Saccharomyces cerevisiae S288C: one gene and its partners. Changing the gene in region 1 together with any one later gene gives a genetic interaction. Each region holds a gene or a part of one and is shown on either strand. Other genes may lie near its edges.

Evidence for each region.
Region 2: mutations in AFG1 (region 1) and ADI1 together harm fitness more than expected from each alone (negative genetic interaction), as found in Saccharomyces cerevisiae (one large-scale study listed by BioGRID).
Region 3: mutations in AFG1 (region 1) and PPA2 together harm fitness more than expected from each alone (negative genetic interaction), as found in Saccharomyces cerevisiae (one large-scale study listed by BioGRID).
Region 4: of AFG1 (region 1) and COX11, extra expression of one rescues a mutant of the other (dosage rescue), as found in Saccharomyces cerevisiae (one study listed by BioGRID).

What each region holds. Positions count from the first base shown.
Region 1 is NC_001137.3:52,753-58,926, reverse strand, and holds AFG1 (Afg1p), read right to left. Parts: upstream 2,357-6,174; coding exon 827-2,356; downstream 1-826. Other genes in the region: VMA8 (H(+)-transporting V1 sector ATPase subunit D), read right to left, coding at 1-549; MAK10 (Mak10p), read left to right, coding at 2,825-5,026; 60S ribosomal protein uL11 RPL12A, read left to right, coding at 5,709-6,174.
Region 2 is NC_001145.3:280,071-285,141, reverse strand, and holds ADI1 (acireductone dioxygenase (Ni2+-requiring)), read right to left. Parts: upstream 1,041-5,071; coding exon 501-1,040; downstream 1-500. Other genes in the region: ANY1 (Any1p), read right to left, coding at 1-42; YMR008C-A (uncharacterized protein), read left to right, coding at 1,594-2,061; PLB1 (lysophospholipase), read left to right, coding at 2,558-4,552; YMR007W (uncharacterized protein), read right to left, coding at 4,802-5,071. UniProt on the Saccharomyces cerevisiae protein: Catalyzes 2 different reactions between oxygen and the acireductone 1,2-dihydroxy-3-keto-5-methylthiopentene (DHK-MTPene) depending upon the metal bound in the active site.
Region 3 is NC_001145.3:798,617-803,893, reverse strand, and holds PPA2 (inorganic diphosphatase PPA2), read right to left. Parts: upstream 2,123-5,277; coding exon 1,190-2,122; downstream 1-1,189. Other genes in the region: U6 snRNP complex subunit PRP24, read left to right, coding at 1-1,006; RSN1 (Rsn1p), read right to left, coding at 2,515-5,277. UniProt on the Saccharomyces cerevisiae protein: Involved in energy production. Its activity is stimulated by uncouplers of ATP synthesis.
Region 4 is NC_001148.4:298,477-304,030, reverse strand, and holds COX11 (Cox11p), read right to left. Parts: upstream 2,316-5,554; coding exon 1,413-2,315; downstream 1-1,412. Other genes in the region: 60S ribosomal protein uL18 RPL5, read right to left, coding at 17-910; gluconeogenesis transcription factor RDS2, read left to right, coding at 2,803-4,143; ODC1 (mitochondrial 2-oxodicarboxylate carrier), read left to right, coding at 4,528-5,460. UniProt on the Saccharomyces cerevisiae protein: Exerts its effect at some terminal stage of cytochrome c oxidase synthesis, probably by being involved in the insertion of the copper B into subunit I.

The DNA of each region.
Region 1 (6,174 bases):
GTTTTCAGTTCTTGGGATAATAACGTGTTCGATAGCATTAACCCTTCTGTTCGTCACTTTAATCACTTCATCCAAAATAATAAATGCAGTCTGTAAAGAGGCTAATTCAACTAAAGTTTCAACGGCTCTTGAATAGATTTCCTTGGCTCGTTGAACCTGTTGACCACCTCTACCTAAACCAGTTAATCTGAAATCATTAATTTCAGGGTCGATGTAGGACTCAAATTGAGACAAATACACACCACTAACGTTTTCTTGACGTGCTCTCACTTTGAATCTTGCAGTAGAGACACTTTCTTGCACTTGATAGCCAATGTTTTCACCTGTTGCATAGGAAACTTCGGCCAAGGAAAAGGCAGCAGTTTGCATAACTCTCCCCATCTTTTGCTTAGCATCATCAATTCTTTTGGTAATATCTCTGAATCTCTTTGTTAGGGCTTCAGACTTACGCTTTAGTAAAGAATAACCTTGGTTGGCACCTTTTAACTTGGTCTTCATCAAACCCAGCGTCATACGCGTAGGAAAGACTTGCTCTCTATTACCAGACATTTTTGAACCTTTTTCACAATGCTGTTAGGAACCTATGTACTACAGATGCTGATTTATTCTACTGCTGCTTCATCTAACCTTTATCTGTACTGCCATTGTCTTTTAACAATCCCCGTTCCTAATCAAATTTGCATTCGGGTAACAAAAAATCAGGTGAGTAATATCAGTAATAAAAAGCACTATTGTTAAAGGTGTAACTGCGGCAATTGTTAGACGATCAAAGTTCGTGTTTAGAATAAATACAAGAATATAAATAAACACTTTTGTTACATAGGGTTTAGTATGTAGGCTTAGTAACCCAATCGGTGGAGCTCATCTGTGACAGCCTGCTTAAGGCACGGGCAAAGGCAAATCTTTCTTCATCAAGAGCAAACATCTGCGATTTCTTGGCAATCTCTTTCGAAAAACCGTGTTTCTCAACCATCTCATCTACCATACCAGTATCGACGCTATCAGGTTCTTTGGTTGTTGGGCGTAACTCAAAATCATTAAGTATCTGTTCAGGTTCCACAAACAAGGAAGAAAAATCCGCTGCACCCGTAGTGGCCAGTTTCCCGCCACTGTCATATACAGCATCTAAAAATGTAATAAATCTTCTCACTTCATCACGAACGTAAATGGACAAATATGGAATATCGGTCACTATAAAGGCTTCAAAATTTTTTGCCAACGTCAAGTAATCTCCTGCGGCCAAAGGCTCACCACACAACTGCTTGAAAGTAAACTGCGCGACTCGAGGTGGGGTACACTTAGGGACTTTGAACTCTCTCCCCCAAATAGTTAATGGATAATCATAAAATGTCTTATGCACCGTGTGTGAATCAGTGGAATCATCGGTGTGGGAAGCCTGTGCGAAATAGTTATACCATTCCTTAATATGAGTTTCTCGACGGGTTTTACATTCCTTTGATGCGTATTTTATGCTCGTATCGGATGGGAAATAGTAAACTGAGGACACAGGTCTTGGAATCTTACGGTAATCTGTTGGCGAATTCAAGAAGATAACCTTAGTTCTATGCTTTATCAGTTCAATACAAGGAATAAATGATTGTCTTTGAACACCGTTGATATACAACTCATCTGGATGTCTATTCGAGGTTGCGAAAAGTACGACACCATAATCATCGGATAGTAAGGCAGTCATCAGCCTTCTCAATATCATTGCATCTGCCACGTCAGTGACTTGAAACTCGTCAAAACAAAGAACATGCGAATTATTTGCAATCTCTGCGGCCAAAAATGGAACCGTATCGATCTCTTTTCCTTTTGCATCACCTAGTTCTTTCAAATTTTGCTCTCTAACAATTTCATGCGACCTTTTGTGAACATATTGCATAAACTGGTGAAAATGTATTCTCTTTTTTGTTAAATGATTGGGAATTGTAGTATAAAAAAGGTCCATCAACATTGTCTTTCCGCAGCCAACATCTCCATATAGGTAAACTCCTCGAGGTATCGAGTTACCAATTTTGGATACATCCACATACGCCCCAATGTTCTTAGGTTTGCCACGGCTAAATACGGATTTAAGACCATTCAACCAACCGCCAACTTGGTCGACAGCATTGGGTGTCTTGACAACCGGAGGTACATATTTAACCAGTGAATCATACAAATCCCCTAAGGAAGAGATGATACCACGCTGATATGTATCATCCCGTAGCTTCCCCAACTTCACCAGTCTGTCGTACTCTTGCAAGGGCGTCAGACACTTATTTGACTTCGTAGATTGATACCGACAAATGCGAAAGCTGCAATGCTGCACTTGTCGGAAGGTTCGAACAGCATTGGGCTTCAAAGCGATCATGATTTTAACCAGCAAATACTATGTTTCACTGCTTTACCTATTTATTCTTTGTTCTTTCGGAGCACCCGCAAATCAGAAGAAAGGAACTTCTCCCTCCCACTTTAAAGTAAATCCGGAGATTCCCGTTATTACCTTACATATCGAAATATGACCCATAAAAGATGTGTAAAATTACGTAAGACAAAGGAACTCGGCACACCTATTGAATAGGTAATAGTGGAATCAGGTGCCTAAATAAATGAATAAGAGTACTGTATTATCTAGTAGTTGTTATATTATCTAACCTTTACATAATACGATTATTTCACATTGTTATGTTTTCGGGTAATAATTATGAGATGGAGTGAAATTTCACGAAGAGATACAAGTAAAATAGCAGCTCTTCAATAGCAAGAAGAGTGGCGCTGAGATTGAAAACAACTGTGCTAGTGTAGAGCAACTTTGATAATAGCTGGTACGTTTCCGAGAATGGAAGTAGACAGTATATTAGGTTCCTTGAGCATAACTGATGATTTTGACCAATTGGTTGACGTCACAAGTCTGTTTGATGAATTGTGTTCAAAACTAAAACCAGAGGCTATCGTGAAAGATCCCAGGTTTGATTTGTTCGAGGGTACACATTCTTTAGAGGTCAACAACTCCAAATTAGACTCCAGTCTGATAGAATTGACAGCAGAAGAAATAGAATTTGATGTGAACGTGGCCTACGATCCACCGTTGGCAAGTGTAGCAGCCATAGCGGATAGATTACTTAGATGTGTTATCTCCTGGCTGAATGACTACCAGACTTTACCCACTACTGTATTAAGCTGCAGGTATACAGAAAGCTTATTATCGTCATTAGTTAAGGGAACAACTGCCGGTTCGTCCTGGTGTACAGGGAATATTTTGTATGATAAAGTACTAGGAAGTTGCATACTTGGCGTTTGTTATTTAACAAAATTTGTGCAGAAACTCTTGAGTGCTGGTATTGTTTTTGAAGAGGAGGATTTAAATTTTAATAACATGGGGTTTAATACATTCGATAATTTGCCGGGGCAAGATGTTGTTATCAATTCTCTCACCGAGAGCCTTCAGATATTAGAGGCATATTCTGATGATAGCTTACATTTAACTATGCTGAAGCATATACTAAAAATTATCATTTGCTTAGTCCACTTAGAAGACCATCTGACAGACTATTCCACAAAGACAAGCCACCTGGATGAGCTAATTGAAAACGCTAACTCGGTTAATGGCATATTTCCACAATTACAGCTGTCTCCACCAAAGGGTGCGTTCTCAACATATATACAAAAGCACAGGTCTAATCAATTCCCTCCCAGGAAGATTACGAAGTTACCGACGGATTACAGCGGCTTTATTACACTGGCAAATGATGTTAAAACAATACTCCTTGTAGATAAAGCCGAGTCTGCGTTGGAGACCTACCAGTTTGCCAAATTCTTCAACAAGTTGGAACAAAGGCATGTCATTGCAAGGATCTTATTCCCCTTATTTTTCATTAGAGACGACAGAACAGTTTTGGGTAAATTTTCATATACCCAATTTTATTTGCTACATGTCAAGGAGTTTTCAGCACAAACTCCATCTGAATTTGAATCCTCTATTGGTAATGAACTTATCCAAGAAAGCTCTAATATGCTTTTAGAATGGTACCAAAACTGCTCCCAAAACACATGTAGATATAGACAAGGTTTTAACAGGCAACTTATTCTATGGGATTCTCTTCAAGCCCAGTTTGAAAGTGTCAATTCACAAGTTTACTGTTCGTGGACATATTTTATGAAACTATCAAGTATGATCGAATTCTCTTTAAAGGGGTTTGATTTGGATATTTACAAACCCTTTGAAGCATACTCTATGTTTTGGTATGTTTATTATTTAAGTCACCACTTAGAAACCTTTTTGAAAGATAGTCAAAATGATATTGAATCAAATATTAATGCCATTCATTCCATGAACAAAAAACTTAAAAAATTGAAAGCTGGTGAAAAGAAGGACCAATTGAGGCTAAAGTACAGGTTTGCTATGGATAATGAAATGGAACAATTACAAGCTACCAAACAATTTTTAAACTATCTTTTGAAGGAAATTAACATTACCAAATCTTTATGTCTAATAGAGGTTTTCCAATTTGCAATTTTAAAGTCATTTGGTTTAATTGACAACAAGAATAGTACTCCGTCAAAATTCTCTAATGAACGGTTAATCCATAATTTGAGATTCAAGCCATTTAATTCAATTGGTGTTCCTGAGTTACCAGAATATGAAGTATTTCAACAAACTTTAAAAGATTTTGTCATTGAAGAAAAAGGAGCTGCATTTGATATAAAGTTAGAAAGGGCCACTAACTTTATCGAAACTGAAGTGCGCAATGTCGTTAGTTCTATTGATGAGATAATGCAAGGAATCAAGGGAGGCGATAATAACGGCGTTCTAGTAACAGGAACAAGACTGGTTCAAGAGCTCTCTCTGGAGTACTATTGTAAACTAAAACATACTTCTAAAGCATTATCAGTCAACTCAAAAGTTATCGTCAACACTTTGAAAAAGAACATTAAAAACAAGGACTCCCACGAATACAAGGTTGAATTAGTTCATACAACAGAAGGATGGAACTATTTCCCCATACAAACATTGAGAATAAAGCAAGACCGCTATAAATAATCTGGAATTTACCCTAACTGTACAAAATATATTTAGCATTATATACCCGCTATTTAATTATTATAAAGGAGACCTTTATACTCAAACAAATGAAGCCACCTTATGCCATTATCCCATTCGTACCAGTCTAAAACAAGATAAATACCCTGTTTAACATCCGAACACCAAATATGTGTGGGTGTCAAACAAAGAGACAATGTAATGAGACAATGTACTGCTTGTAAACTATAACAGTATCAGCTCAATTTCAATGCCATCTACTCCAGATATCGTTGCGATTGTACCTACAAGCCGCCTACAACGGCGTTATTGTTGTAAGCTGGTAAAATGCAGTGCGTTCCCCCGTTGTGAGTTCGGGCCAAACTTACTTGGCTGGGAGTTCCGTCCGTACAGTTGTGGCTTGCTGCCTAGACTTAGGCGGACGCGGCGGCAATTACTCCTGGGCTCTCCCTAGAGCTGGAGAGACACTCTTGGTAACCGAAGGGAAAATCCCGGAAGAAAATTTGGAATCCGTTAACACTGCTGGAAATGGACATCTCCTAATACTGAAAAAATTATTCAAAGTCTAGAATTTTGGTAAATTTCAAGGCTTCTTTGAGTTACAGTTCGTTACTATTACACCTTAAAGGAACTTTCTTTTGGGGTCTAGAAAGTCGACAACAAGAACAAAGGATATACAAAAATGCCTCCAAAGTTTGATCCTAATGAAGTTAAATACTTGTACCTAAGAGCCGTTGGTGGTGAAGTCGGTGCCTCCGCTGCTTTGGCTCCAAAGATTGGTCCTTTAGGTCTATCGCCAAAGAAGGTTGGTGAAGATATTGCTAAGGCCACCAAAGAATTCAAGGGTATCAAGGTTACCGTCCAATTAAAGATCCAAAACAGACAAGCTGCTGCCTCTGTTGTCCCATCTGCTTCCTCTTTGGTCATTACTGCTTTGAAGGAACCACCAAGAGACAGAAAGAAGGACAAAAACGTCAAGCACAGTGGTAACATTCAATTGGATGAAATTATTGAAATTGCCAGACAAATGAGAGACAAATCCTTCGGTAGAACTTTGGCTTCCGTTACTAAGGAAATCTTAGGTACTGCTCAATCTGTCGGCTGTCGTGTTGACTTCAAGAATCCCCATGATATCATTGAAGGCATTA
Region 2 (5,071 bases), on another chromosome or scaffold:
GTCCCTTATTAAAGTAGCATCTAACGGACCTGTTGTTGACATTCTCTAGCTTTATCTGTGGAAAGTATTAATTTTTTATTGAATTTTATAAAGAAAGGAATGCAACAGTATGCGTATAGTTTTTATAAAAAAAATAGGGCGCTGAAACCAAATCAAAATATCAAATGTCGTATCGTTTTTGGCTTTCAGGATTGTTGATGTTTATAAATAGTGATAAGGCTTTGCTTTTTGATATTACGACTATGGCCTATACTTTTCACTATTCTCCATGGAAGAAGTATGCAAATAAATGGAGGAAAAGATGAATACTTGACCAACATCTAAATATAAAAATAATACGAAAATCGTTCAAACTTCCGGTGTTTCTTTTTCCACTTTTGGTGTTTTTTTCTTTTCCTATTTCACAGACTAAAAATCATTCTTGACGGGGAAGTCACCCTACGCTACTTTAAAGATATAAAGAAGTAAGACATTAAGAATAATGTATTATGATGCAGTATTTAGTACTGATTGATCAGGGCAATGTAGTCCTTGCGTACAGGCAATGAATCAGCCTGATTTGACCTGTTGATAGCTTGCCATTTGGGCTCGTCCTTAAACAGTCTCAAGGCCTTGATGTGGTTGCTAGTTGTCAAGGTGAAACGATGATAGATGCCTGGTGGAAGAATCAGTAAATCACCTGACTCTACCAAACACCTAATCCAGTTCTCTGGTGTGGAAGCATCCCTGACGTCAAAGTATCCAGCACCCTCGAGACAGTATCTTATTTCTTCGTCTTCATGTAAATGCTCTTGGTAGAATGTTGCTAGTTTTTCATTAAACTCTGCTTCACTTTTGAAGGAACCTTCGCAGATGTTGACCACATCTCTATTTTTATATTCTCTTTGCCTAGCAATTTCATTCACTTCTTCCTCATTTGCACAGTATTTATAAATCACTCCTAACTTGGCTAATTCATCCAGGGAAAGTTCTGTTCCAGAATTGTGGGGTGCGCGATAATCGGAGTCAACCTTGTTGTCATGAATATATACCTTAACCATTCTAACTTTTGACCTTTTTACGACCTTTTTTAGTGTCTTGTTTGGTGGTTATTGTTTTTTTTGATCTGCAGATGCCACCCTCTTTGTTCTTTTATACTTTGATGTTTTTCAATATGCATATTTCGGTGTTAGCGACTCTACTGTGGCGTCGCCCTGTCGAGCGGCTCTTACAAGGGCCCTTTCAGTCGTCAATGCAAAGAAAACTGGCAGAAATTACCTTCATTGCGCCGTTATGCTATCTTGCCTCTCTCCTGTTATTTAGAAGGCATCTCACTATCTAGACAGACAATACGACTTGCGCACATGTGAATCATTAACAAGATCGTGATTATCGCTACTTCTGCATAGTTTATAGGGAGAAAAAGAGAAGGAAAAAATTGTGTCAAAAACGGGCCAGAATATAAAAAAAAAATATTAATTGAAGAGTAATATGGACTATCGTAAAATACTTGTACTGAACGAGCAGTTAGTCTTGATCTAGAAGAGATGAAAATACCGGTGGGCGGTCGTTCAATCTTCAGCAATTGCAATTTTTTTTACGCATGCAAGATATATGTATGACTTACTCGAGCAAAAATTTTTTGTGCGGGAAATCAAATTCGCTTCAGCCTATTATTTACGCACCGGCAAAGCCCTGAACAATAGCAAGACTCCGATATTTCAGCGAAAGCATTCTTTGCCTGCGTGGCTTTCGTCCGCGGTTATTATTACTGCGCCTGTTAGCAACGACGGAAGTCACTCGATTCTATTTGCTCGTAAAACTCTAAGAATGATAATGCCTATGTTTAGTCCGCTTTTCAACAGAAGTCCTGACGATTGCCCTTCTCATCTGACCGCTACCCATATCTTTCAGCAATTCAGCGCTATGCTGGATTACGGACAGAGTACAAAGGAAGCCACTAACAAGCGCAGGTTAATAAAGGGTTCTGACCTACTTGTTGCCTTGGATCGGAATTGTATTCCTTCAGCCCCCTTTGTCCCCGAAATTGCCCTGCGTAAAAGCGGCGCAGTGGGGTCCTAACGTTTATTCCTTCCAAAGCTTTCTCATGCCACATAGTGCTAAAATAAGTGGACGCATGGGTTTCCTGCACGGACTTCTTCAAAGCGACCTAAAAAGTCCGTTTCTAACTTCGCCTTTCCTCATTATATGCGGTTTACGCCCTTATCTATAAAGGGAAATAACCTCATACAGTAACATGTCCGCTTATTCCCGCATATTTTTCTCAGTTAAGCAACATTCATTTACGTCTCCTATTTTTGCTTAGAAGATGACTTGGTTACTTTATTTTCTTCTAACTGCTTAGGTAAACTACATCATCTAATATATAAAGACGCTTCCACCACATTTAACCAACGGAAACGTCTCTTCGCTGTAAGGTTCTACATTTATTAGGTTATACTAACTAATCAATTCTTCGTTCTTTTCTTAACATTTCTCTCTTTTTTCGTTCATATAACGTAAATTACACGAAGCTATCCATCCTAAGGGCAAACGGGAAAGAAAATAAAACAAAACCATGAAGTTGCAGAGTTTGTTGGTTTCTGCTGCAGTTTTGACTTCTCTAACAGAGAACGTTAACGCTTGGTCACCAAATAACAGTTACGTCCCTGCGAACGTAACCTGTGATGATGATATTAACTTAGTCAGAGAAGCATCTGGTTTGTCAGATAACGAAACAGAATGGCTGAAAAAAAGAGATGCATACACCAAGGAGGCTTTGCATTCTTTTTTGAATAGGGCCACTTCGAATTTCAGTGACACTTCCTTGCTATCCACTCTTTTTGGTAGCAACTCTTCCAATATGCCTAAGATTGCCGTCGCCTGTTCTGGTGGTGGTTACCGTGCCATGTTGTCTGGTGCTGGTATGCTTGCTGCTATGGACAATCGTACTGATGGCGCAAATGAGCATGGTCTTGGTGGGCTGCTGCAAGGTGCAACTTACTTGGCAGGTCTGTCGGGTGGTAACTGGTTAACAAGTACTTTGGCTTGGAACAACTGGACGTCTGTGCAAGCTATCGTGGATAATACAACAGAATCTAACTCAATTTGGGACATCTCTCATTCAATTCTTACCCCAGACGGCATTAACATCTTTAAGACTGGGAGTAGATGGGACGACATATCAGATGACGTTCAGGATAAAAAAGACGCCGGTTTCAACATCTCTTTGGCGGATGTTTGGGGCCGTGCTCTTGCGTACAATTTTTGGCCAAGCTTACACCGTGGTGGTGTAGGGTACACATGGTCAACTTTAAGGGAAGCTGATGTCTTCAAGAATGGAGAAATGCCCTTCCCTATCACTGTTGCAGACGGTAGATACCCAGGTACCACCGTGATAAACTTGAATGCCACTCTTTTCGAATTTAATCCCTTTGAAATGGGTTCATGGGACCCCACTTTGAACGCATTTACGGATGTGAAGTATTTAGGTACCAACGTTACAAACGGTAAACCAGTTAATAAAGGCCAATGCATTGCCGGGTTTGATAACACTGGTTTCATAACAGCCACTTCATCTACGTTGTTTAACCAATTTTTACTAAGATTGAATTCTACCGATTTACCTTCATTTATTGCTAACTTAGCCACCGATTTCCTGGAAGATTTATCCGACAATAGTGACGATATTGCAATTTACGCCCCAAATCCATTCAAGGAAGCTAATTTTCTTCAAAAGAACGCAACCTCCAGTATTATCGAATCAGAATATCTATTTTTGGTTGATGGTGGTGAAGATAACCAAAATATTCCTTTAGTTCCATTGTTGCAAAAGGAACGTGAACTAGATGTTATTTTTGCATTAGACAATTCTGCTGATACTGACGACTATTGGCCAGATGGTGCTTCATTAGTTAACACTTATCAGCGTCAATTTGGCAGCCAAGGTCTCAATTTGTCTTTCCCATATGTTCCAGATGTGAACACATTTGTCAACTTGGGGTTGAACAAAAAGCCAACCTTTTTTGGTTGTGATGCAAGAAATTTGACAGACTTGGAGTACATTCCACCATTAATTGTTTACATTCCAAATTCAAGACATTCATTTAATGGTAACCAAAGTACTTTTAAGATGTCATACTCCGATTCAGAACGTCTTGGTATGATTAAGAATGGGTTTGAAGCTGCCACAATGGGTAATTTTACTGATGATTCTGATTTCTTGGGCTGTGTTGGTTGCGCCATTATCAGACGTAAGCAACAAAACTTGAATGCTACATTGCCCTCTGAATGCAGCCAGTGTTTTACCAACTACTGCTGGAACGGTACTATTGACAGCAGGTCAGTCTCAGGTGTAGGAAATGATGATTATTCTTCTTCTGCTTCCTTGTCTGCCTCCGCCGCTGCTGCCTCTGCCTCTGCCTCTGCCTCTGCTTCCGCCTCTGCCTCTGCTTCTGGGTCTTCCACTCATAAGAAAAATGCGGGCAATGCTTTGGTGAATTATTCTAACTTAAACACTAACACTTTTATTGGTGTCTTAAGTGTCATTAGTGCCGTCTTCGGTCTAATTTAGGCTCTTTCTTCGTTTCTATTTCTTTTCTAAAAGAATACGAGAGTGAGAAAAGCGCAAAAATATCAACATACAAATAGTTTACGAGATCTCAAGTGCATACCGCATCTTATTTTTACAAACTCGAAATCTTACGAGCATTAACATTTACATACCGGGTGTCTTCCCTACATATATCTATCTATACAGATATGTTCATGCAGTACTTTCATCGAAGATATATAGATAGGTTTAAAGTGCAGAAGGAAAAAGCTAGGATTGCAGATATGCCATCTGCAGGCCAAATTTCACTTCCACATATCTGCACTGTTCATGAAAATGATCAGTTTCTTTCTTTCTTGCAGCTTTAGATAATCTGGTTTTTCTGCTTTTACACCTTAGAGATGAATCAAAGACACTCAATTCGGTTATACGACAAAGGGCGAACACAATGATGATTCTCACGACTAAATTAAGGACATACTTTTCAATGGTGATGCCTATAGAGAATTTACCGTCGCACCCAATGCAGCCGGTCTGGCC
Region 3 (5,277 bases), on another chromosome or scaffold:
AGTATCTCATTTAACAGAATGCACATTATGGATGACGAATTTCCCCCCAAGTTATACTCAAAGAAATATTAGAGATCTATTGCAAGATATTAACGTTGTTGCACTCAGTATACGGCTTCCCAGTTTACGATTCAATACAAGCAGAAGGTTCGCTTACATCGATGTTACTTCTAAAGAGGATGCAAGATATTGTGTAGAAAAATTGAATGGACTCAAAATAGAAGGTTATACTTTAGTTACTAAAGTTTCCAATCCGCTGGAAAAGTCGAAACGGACCGATTCTGCCACACTAGAGGGGCGAGAGATTATGATACGAAACCTAAGTACAGAATTGCTCGACGAAAACCTTCTGAGGGAATCTTTTGAGGGATTTGGTTCCATTGAAAAAATCAACATACCTGCTGGACAGAAAGAGCACAGTTTCAATAACTGTTGTGCATTTATGGTTTTTGAAAATAAAGATTCTGCTGAAAGGGCACTTCAAATGAATAGAAGTTTGTTAGGTAATAGGGAAATTTCCGTTTCCTTGGCTGATAAAAAACCATTCTTAGAAAGAAACGAAGTCAAAAGACTTCTCGCATCGCGTAACAGCAAAGAACTAGAAACACTAATATGCTTATTTCCACTTTCAGATAAGGTGTCACCAAGCTTAATCTGCCAATTTCTTCAGGAAGAAATACACATCAATGAAAAAGATATTAGGAAAATACTTCTCGTTAGCGACTTCAATGGCGCCATTATTATATTTAGAGATAGTAAGTTTGCAGCAAAAATGCTAATGATACTAAATGGATCTCAATTTCAGGGAAAGGTGATACGTTCAGGTACTATTAATGACATGAAAAGATATTATAACAATCAACAGAATCACAGCATGAAACACGTCAAACCTAGTTGTATAAACATGATGGAAAAAGGACCAAATCTTCAAGTAAAGAAAAAAATTCCTGACAAACAAGAGCAGATGTCCAACGACGATTTTCGCAAGATGTTTCTAGGTGAGTAGACTAACCGAACCGGAGAAAGACGAACTTCTAATAGGATGTCATTTTAGCAGTGAATATAAACCCAAGTTTCTTTCCAAACGTTCACATACATCAAGCAGCCAACATTCGAGAGAGCAGAGATTACGTAATTATATACAAGGAACCTTTATCTAAACATTTTCTTCGAAGGTATTATTTTCATATTAAACGTAATACCATTTTTGCACCTCAGGCGGTATTTGAGAAGGGGGTTTAACACTATCTTCAAGTGTGACACCATTACCAGCCCTTTCTGTATTAGGCAGGTTGTCATACTTCTCCTGGAGTGATCCTGAAATGAGGTTTTTCCACGAATTGTGACATTTCTTTATAGTTTGGATGGTTTTATTGGAATTTTGATACTGTTCATGAAAGGCGAAACTATTTAATGGCTTCCCTGCTGGAACTTTATACTTTCTAAACCACTCCCTAGTCGTATCTAGAATCCCAGGAAAGTACTCCTCAATTTTTTCCAAGTCATCTATTTTAGAGGATAAAGGATCATTTACGTCGATCACTATGACCTTCCAATCCAATTCTCCATCATCAATTAAAGCGAGTGATCCTAATACCTTGACCTTTTTAATGGAACCCATTTCCAAAACATCCGAACCGATTTCGCAACAATCAAGAGGATCATTGTCACCTTTCAAAGCCACGTCACACTTCCCCAGTTTATGTTCAATTGTGGGATCTTCCCATGTTTGGGGAATAGCACCATAGTTGTGTATATAGCCGTGATAGGGAAAGATATTGTTCACGAACCTAAGCTTGCCATTCTTCGTATCTTGAACGATCGGATTGAACCTAAGTTCTTTGGATATTTCAAATTTTCCAGTTGTCCATCTTGGTACTTCAACAATCATATTTACGGTCTTTTCATGTTCATTCAAATCTAAAGGGACATCATGGAAAAAAGAACCAACCTCTCCATTTAATAATGTCAAGTATTTCTTAAACCCGAGGGTATATTTGCTGCCTTGTTGAATGGTGCTGAATTGTCTATGATTACGAATGGATAAAATATTCAATGTTTGTTTTAACCGTTCTATTGACCTAGCCTTGCTTGTTAAAGCATTCATTCGTAATAAATTCATGTTTTTCAGTAACTTCTCTAGAAGGGAATTTGCTTTTCACGCATACAAGCGAATCAAAGTTTCCAATTGAATGTACTCCCTATTAGTGCTGGTTAAATTAGCTGACTGCTCCGTATTACTGTGCGGAGTTCCTTTTATCCAATATTCAAACCTCATAGATTGCCAAAAACAAAAAAACTTTGCATAAAAAAAAACAAAAAGGGTTACTATACACGATGAATGATTAGACTATACACTATTATATAAGAAATGATTAGAATCATATTTTAAATGTATTAAAAGAATATATGCACGTCCTTTTCCTCTCCTTTTCTTAGTAAAATTACAATTCAACCATCAGAGGATAACAGCTAAACAAATAGGAATAGATAATTTCTGATAATGTTTAACCTTTAGACTGCCGAACGACTCTCTTCTTCCTTATACTTTGGGTCCGCAAATGGATTATTTTCCTTACTAGCTGTGTCAAATTCGCCATTTGCTTCACCATTTGCTTCGTCTTTAACATCATTATATGGTGGTGGTACGTCACGCAGAGTAAATTTCAAATTCTCATCGATGGTAGCATTTTCATCGTTCATTTCAACAACGCCAGAAACGTCTGAAATCAACAATTTGGAAAATCCAAAAGGATCGCGAGGAATCCACAATTCGGGGCATTGTGCACTAACAGCTGGATAATCGTAAGCATGAGAGATATCGAAATCATTGACTCTTTCATCAGGATCAACCAAACCATATATTTCTGGCAGTCTGCTCTTTACAGCCTTATAGGAGTAGTAAATGTGAGGTTTTAAGAATCTCTTCCACCATGGAGCCGGAGGAATTTTCATTGTATCACCATCTGCTAATAATGGCACGTCCTCAATTAAATTTTCTGCATTTATAGCGTGCCCATCTGCATTGGCTTCATTTGCTGGGTTGAATTGATATTCGAATGTATTTTCACTAAATATGCTATTTTCAACTTGTTGCTCAGTGACTGATTCACTCCTCTTGTGATATTTCTTTATTGGAAATTCAGGTAATTCTTTGATTCCGTCCATGTCAATATTTGCACCAAAAGTATTTTTCTTCACCTTTGTACTTTCTATGCCTTTATAAATATTTTTGAAAGAAGGTGTATCTGATACACCATCTAACGGTTTCATGGTATCAACGGGTATAACCTTTGATAAATGATCAAATGCAGCGCTCAAATGTAAATGAATAAGGACGGTAACACAAATTCCAATTACCTGTAAAACGATTGGGCCCCAACCTTTACCAACGGCAAAAAGACCTAATAGACATATCTGACCGATGTAGATACCAACTATAGTTTGGAAAAGAGCTCTTGGATAATAAATACCCCTTGCGTCGGGTGATTCCTGATAGACATAAGTCAAATTGTATAAATATGCAATATACAATAGGAAAAACGCGACGGCAGCAAATAATAAAATCAACGGAGAAATGATGGAGTAGGAGAAAGTAATAACTGCCAAGTTTGTATAAACTGGAAAAGCTGTCCCCCACTGCATACTGGATAGCCCACAAAAACGATTCCATTTCTTCCTAACGGTACCATCTAAAAAGGCACCTAAAACATAAAAGAGTATTAGTGGAACAATTTGCAAAAGAGCACCTGATGAAATGGACAGACCTTGTAGAATAACGTATGACATGAAAAAATTAGAAGCTTTTGGCAGATTAGAAGCCAGTAGATCCATAGCCTTCGTGGGCTCTTTAACAATTTCCGTTACTGTGGAAGTGGCGGCGGAGGATAGAGTGGTAACTAAAAAGACTTGGATAACTTGAAAGGCGAAATAAGCTTGTTGAGTGAAATATTCCACATTTTGCTTAGATGGAGCACCTTGAGTGATAGCCATACCCCTAATAAATTTCGGCAAGAAACTCATTAAAACGGCCAATGCCACAGTTGGGGCCAGAGATGTCAGTAAACCTAATAGTTGTTTTGGTAATTTATAGATGAACTTTAACCATTTAACTTCATTAGTCAAGGAAGTAATATTAGAGATCATACCAACAAAAGCCACTGGGAAAGCCCATAATATTACTAGCGCGACAATTGCTGAAACCGCACTGACTTCCCTACCTAATCTTTCCCACCAGAACATCCTCAAATTAAACCAAACGACATCGGATGGCTCAATACCAATATACACAGGCGTCATGAAAAGAGGAGCATGGTATGTGGTGATCTGAGCGGCAACTTGGGCCTGATATTGGGATTCAAACTCCACAAAAACGGAGTTGAAAGGGGATGAATTTTCATGATCTTCTTGTAATGCCTTCACCTTTTGGTTTAACTTGGGCAACTCCTCCTTAATGTAGGATATGGTGTCAACTTTTTTACCAAAAAAGAATTTAGCAACCTTGTTAATTTTATGATGTGGTCTTTTCTTGTCAGGGACATATTCAGCAATATTATCAGAGACAGATAATTGCGGACTTTTTTTGTTTAACTTCTTAATTTTTTTCAATGCTGCTTTCAGGTATTTTGTTTCAGCACCTTCCAATTGTATGGCCATATTGTCCCTTGCTTTGACCATTGCTTCAATTGAACCGGAACCTCTTGCGATCCAGACTCTTTTCACACCATCAAACAACTTAGAAAACTCTTCTTCACTTAAGTATTGCTTAGGGACAGTCTGGAATAACACGGTTCTCGAGGATAGTTTTTTAGCATAACGAGGGGACGCTAGTACAGCTTGCTTCATAGAGGTGTAAAAATACAATTCTCTGTAAATAATGTAAAGGAACCCCCAAAAGAAAATCCATCCACAGAAAACATGTGCAAAATATCTACCACGGTGCTTGACGTTCTGATAGGCCAATTGATTCAATCCGCTTTCATGGTTACCGTTACTGGCGTTAATGGACAACAAAATAGGGAATATATAACTCATGGAAACAGCACAGTAAATTGCAATGATGAAAAGGTACCTCAAAAAGAAATATCCATCCAGACCGGCTTGTTGAATGACAAAATTGTCTGATTTTTTCAATAACGGCTTCAGCCATTGCCAGACGCCCTGCGGTAGCGGTTCTGGCTTTTTTTCTTCATTAATCAGATTGAATGAGGATTTGGGCTCATAAATCCTTTTTAGTTTTATACGCAAAATCAAGAACGCTATGACAAAAACACCAAA
Region 4 (5,554 bases), on another chromosome or scaffold:
GTTATATATCCATAATTTATTGTTGACCAGCCAAAGCAGCGATCTTGGCAGCAACACGAGCAGCTCTTTCTTCCTTGGACAATTTGGTTTGTCTGTACTTCTTGGATTCAGCAGCGTATTGTTCCTTGGTGAATTTCTTTTCAGTTGGCTTGAAAGCTGGGTCAGCTCTGATAGCTTCGTGAGCAGAAGTGTAGATGTCTTCCAAAGAGTCAGCATCAATGTCGTCAGCTAGGTAACCCTTGAATAATTCAGAGAATCTTTCTTCATCATCGTCAGCTAATTCTTCCATGTATTGGGAAACGTGGCCACCAAAGATGTAAGATCTCAATAATTCTGGGTCAATTTCTTCGGTTTCGAAGTCCCAACCTGGGAATCTGTTTTCGGAGTGAGGAACGTACAAACCACCGTCAGAAGCACCCTTTAGAGCACCGAAAACTCTGGCACCAGTGGTGGTTCTTTGCAAACCAATATCCAAGAAGACCTTGAATGGACGTGGACCATCTTCAACAGCTTCGGTCAATTCGTATTCACCTTCAACTTCTTCAACACCCTTGTAAGTTTCGTCCAAACCCAACTTTTGCAAGGTTCTTCTGGCGATCAACAAACCAGTAGCGTAAGCAGCAGCCCAGTTGGTCAAACCGTGGGTAATACCGTATCTTGGCAATTCGTGGGAGTAGGCAGCAGCTAAGACGACATCACCAGTGATGGTAGAAGAGATGATTTGACAGATGATATCCTTGTTAGTGAATCTAACAACCAATCTGTACTTTGGAGTGTTGTACTTGGCCTTGTGTTGGGTGACCAATCTCTTTCTTTGGTAGTAATCAGTCTTACCTTCTCTTCTTCTTCTGAAAGGAGTTTGGAAACGAGAGGAGTAAGCAGAGGACTTAGCGTCTTTTTGGAAAGCCATTGTTGCTGAGATTTGTGACGGTGTCTTTTATTTTGAAGTGTAGGAGAAAACAAAAGTAAAGGTTGGCCTCTGAAATATACTACATCGGATATGTCTACAAACTTTTCTATTTATTTTTTTTTTTTTCAAAGCATCTGGCGACTACTGGGATCTGCGACGCTAAGTGAAGCCTCTGAAATTTTCGGATGTGAGCGATTCCGCATTGAAAGCCACCAGAAAAAAAAAAAAGAAAAAAAAGAGAATATTTCAATAATTTTTTTTGCTTTATGGGTGTTTTAGGATGTCTGGATGTACAAGTTAGCTGTCTAGAAAAGCTGTATCACATGAACAAGAATCTTCATTTCTTCATTTCTATGACGGCTAGAAAACAAAGATTTGATGATTACAAGAAGTTCGGTGCCGTGATTATATGCTTAAAACATCTCAATATGAAGTCATGGTGTTTTACTTAATTCAAAAGCATAACAGTATTTATGTACATTGAATGACTTTGTATTTACAATTAATTTGAGTTGTCTTTCCTTGTGTCTATAACTTCTGGGGATAAAATAGCAGCATTAGCCAATGACGCTGCTTTTTCATCTGCATTCATCTCAGGCTCCTTTTTAGAGTCACTTACAGCTGTACCATCACCATAATGAGCTCTGAAGAATGTGTAATGTAAAATAATATCATCGATATTTCGCATCGCTGGATCGCTAGCAAAATCTGGATCGATAAAAAAGAAGACAGGCATATCTATTTCTTCACCGGCAGCTAGCTTTTGTTCTTCAAAGCAAAAACATTGGATTTTATTAAAGTATTGAGCTGCTTCACCAGGCGCTATGCTATAAGTAGCCATACCAATAATATCTTTATCGCTGTAATTCTTGGCTTTATAAAAAGCGAGGGCTGTTTCACCAGGCAGAACGTAAACCTCACGTTGTTGAGGAACGAATTTCCACGGTAAAATTTGTGATACTTCACTGGTGAATGAGATACGAATTCTCTTCTCAGTATCTACAGGAATGAGTTTATCGTCGGTAAATTTTCTTCTATCTGTTATGGGAATCCCACCAAAACCAGTACGAGCACAAATGGCTCTATAGAGTGGTACCGCTGCATATGCCAAACCCAAGAAAAGTACCGCGACGCTGCTGAAATAAAATGCAACCGTACGATCTTTAAATTTTCTCTCCCTTGCTCTTTTCAACTCTCGCAATTGCTGGATTTCATTTCTAGTAAGTTTTGAAATATCAAATGTATGTTTTGGTTGTTCGCTGTTCACTGAATAACTTCTCAATGCAACGTTTTTGCATATGGCCCGCCTTAGAGCTAGCGCATGAGGTGCCAACCATGAGTCGGATCTAAGAAAAGTTCCTAACAGTGGAACCTTAGATCTAACAATGGGACATATTCTTATCATGACAATATTAGGGAATTTTGGCTGCAATATTATTTGTTTGTGCGCTGAAGTGCTATTTCACCTGCGACAGGAATATTATTACTTTAAAGAAGATACTTAAGCGTTCGCTGCCCCTTTAGACTCTTCACTGTTCTTTGATTTGTATTGGTTAGTATCTATGTCCTTAAAAGATATATCATGTTTCATCCGTCAAAGGGCATTGGTTAGGGAAAGGGTTTTCCAATGGTTACGCTGTTTTTCCTACAGATCCGCTCCTTAGATGGGGAGAATAATGTTTTGGAATGGCAGAAAACAAGAAAAAGCAAAACAAAGAGTACGAAGGAAAATGAAAAATAGTTGAATATTAGAAAAAAGGATGAGGTCTCTGGGATGGAAGAAGAAAGTAATTCTTATGAGAAAATTTGCGGGAGTTCTTTGCCAGTGAGATAAAGTTTTTTTTAATTTTAATCAACACAAAATACACATATTTATATAAACTGACGAAATAATGTCAGCAAACAGTGGTGTAAAACGAGCCAGTAAGGCTTTTAAAACATGTTTATTTTGTAAACGGTCACATGTTGTATGTGATAAGCAACGTCCATGTTCTAGGTGCGTCAAGAGGGATATTGCCCATTTATGCAGGGAAGATGATATTGCGGTTCCAAATGAGATGCCATCACAGCACGAAAGTTCTCCGAATGATAATAATATACAGGGCAAATATGCAAATAAAGCACACACTGGAATTCCGTCTGACTATCAGAATGAACCAGTCAATAAAAGTGGATCCACATATGGAGAGGAACTGTCACCGAAACTAGACTCCTCTCTTGTAAATGATACAACCAGCTTGCTGCTTCCGCAACAACCTGTATTTGTGTCCGAGAATGTTGGTTCGGAATTCAGTTCTTTGAATGAATTTCTTTCTATGCTAGAAAATCCTCTATTGACTCAAACATCACTAAGTTCCAGCAGTGCGAGCAATGTTCATTTGGAAAATGGCTCACAAACCACACAATCGCCATTAGAGTACCAAAACGACAATCGTAGGGATGAAATAGGAGTGGCAAGACAAGAAAATAGGTCGCCTACTATTATGTCAGGTTCTTCCAATAGTATCTCGAAAGGGGATAAACAAGATCAAGAAAAGGAAGAGTCTCGAATTCTAGCGAATGCAAACGAAAACAGTGCACCGACACCGAAGGAACAATTCTTTTTAACAGCGGCGGATCCGTCAACAGAGATGACACCAGAACACCGGCTGAAGTTGGTCATAAATGCGAAGCTTGAAGCAGGATTATTGAAGCCGTATAATTATGCCAAGGGGTATGCAAGACTACAAGACTACATGGACAAATATATGAATCAGTCTTCCAAGCAAAGGATTCTGAAACCACTATCCACCATTAGACCGGCGTTTAGAACCATTGCGCGTTCATTGAAGGATGTTGACTTAGTTTTAGTGGAGGAGAGCTTCGAGAGGATGTTATTATCTTATGATCGTGTTTTCACCTCTATGAGCATGCCAGCGTGCTTGTGTAGGCGTACCGGTGAGATTTACAGAGCCAATAAAGAGTTTGCTTCACTGGTTGACTGCACAGTCGATGATTTACGCGATGGAAAGCTTGCGATCTACGAGTTGATGACAGAAGAAAGCGCTGTGAATTTCTGGGAAAAATACGGGTCCATAGCGTTTGATAAGGGTCAGAAGGCTGTTTTAACAAGTTGTAGTCTTCGAACCAAAGATGGAATCCGCAAACGGCCATGCTGTTTTAGTTTCACTATCAGAAGGGATAGGTACAACATCCCAATTTGCATCGTCGGGAATTTCATCCCTTTGTCATAAGCATAAGTAATACATAGTAGGTAATTGGTATTTCCAGCGTCATTAAAAAGCAAAGTAACGGGTTTACTTTTTCCTCAAGCCGCTGGCCCGAGCAGTTACTTGAAATAGCCGTATTACTACGAGCAATACGAAGACCTTTTTCTACCAGCATTTGTTTTTTTTCAAATCATTCCCATTATTACCCCAGGATCTTTTCATAATGCGGCGACCAGAGATAGGGAAAAAAACTGCGAACTGGCTGAATCTGATTTGGCGAAGGGCAGATTCTCGGGTATTTCTGTGAGGGTGACCGCCGTTGATATATATCAGTGACTTTTGGGAACCTTTATCTCATTTATTCTCAAGATAGAACTGTAACGAGGGTGAAAGAAAAAGAACTGTAAGATGACATCTATAGATAATAGACCTTTGCCGTTCATATACCAGTTCACAGCCGGTGCCATTGCCGGCGTCTCGGAGCTATTGGTGATGTATCCATTGGACGTGGTGAAGACAAGAATGCAATTACAAGTGACAACCAAAGGTCATCCCGCTGTTGTTGCAGCGAAAGCAGCAGTAGATCACTACACGGGCGTGATGGATTGTCTTACAAAAATTGTGAAGAAGGAAGGATTTTCGCATCTTTACAAGGGTATCACATCGCCTATATTAATGGAGGCTCCGAAAAGAGCAATTAAGTTCTCCGGAAACGATACATTCCAAACGTTTTATAAAAAGATTTTCCCCACGCCCAATGGGGAGATGACTCAAAAAATCGCCATATACAGTGGTGCGTCCGCTGGCGCCGTGGAAGCCTTTGTCGTCGCGCCTTTTGAACTAGTGAAGATTAGATTACAGGATGTGAATTCACAGTTCAAGACACCCATTGAAGTTGTAAAGAATAGTGTTGTGAAAGGTGGTGTTTTGTCACTTTTCAATGGGTTGGAAGCCACTATCTGGAGACACGTTCTTTGGAATGCCGGTTATTTCGGTATAATATTCCAAATTCGGAAGCTTTTGCCGGCGGCTAAAACAAGCACGGAAAAGACCAGAAATGATTTGATCGCAGGTGCTATTGGTGGCACTGTCGGGTGCTTGTTGAATACACCATTTGACGTGGTAAAATCTAGGATCCAAAGAAGTTCCGGGCCGCTGAGGAAGTACAACTGGTCCCTGCCTTCAGTGCTGTTAGTTTACCGTGAGGAAGGGTTTAAAGCATTGTATAAGGGATTTGCGCCAAAGGTCATGAGACTTGCCCCCGGTGGTGGGTTATTGTTGGTAGTTTTCACGAACGTCATGGATTTTTTCAGAGAAGTCAAGTATGGTAAAAAACAATGATCCTGACGCTTTTTATTTCATTTTGTTGTAGCCCGCCCATACATGTATACGTATATATATATATATATTTATTGGAAGTAAAAGTAAAAAACTC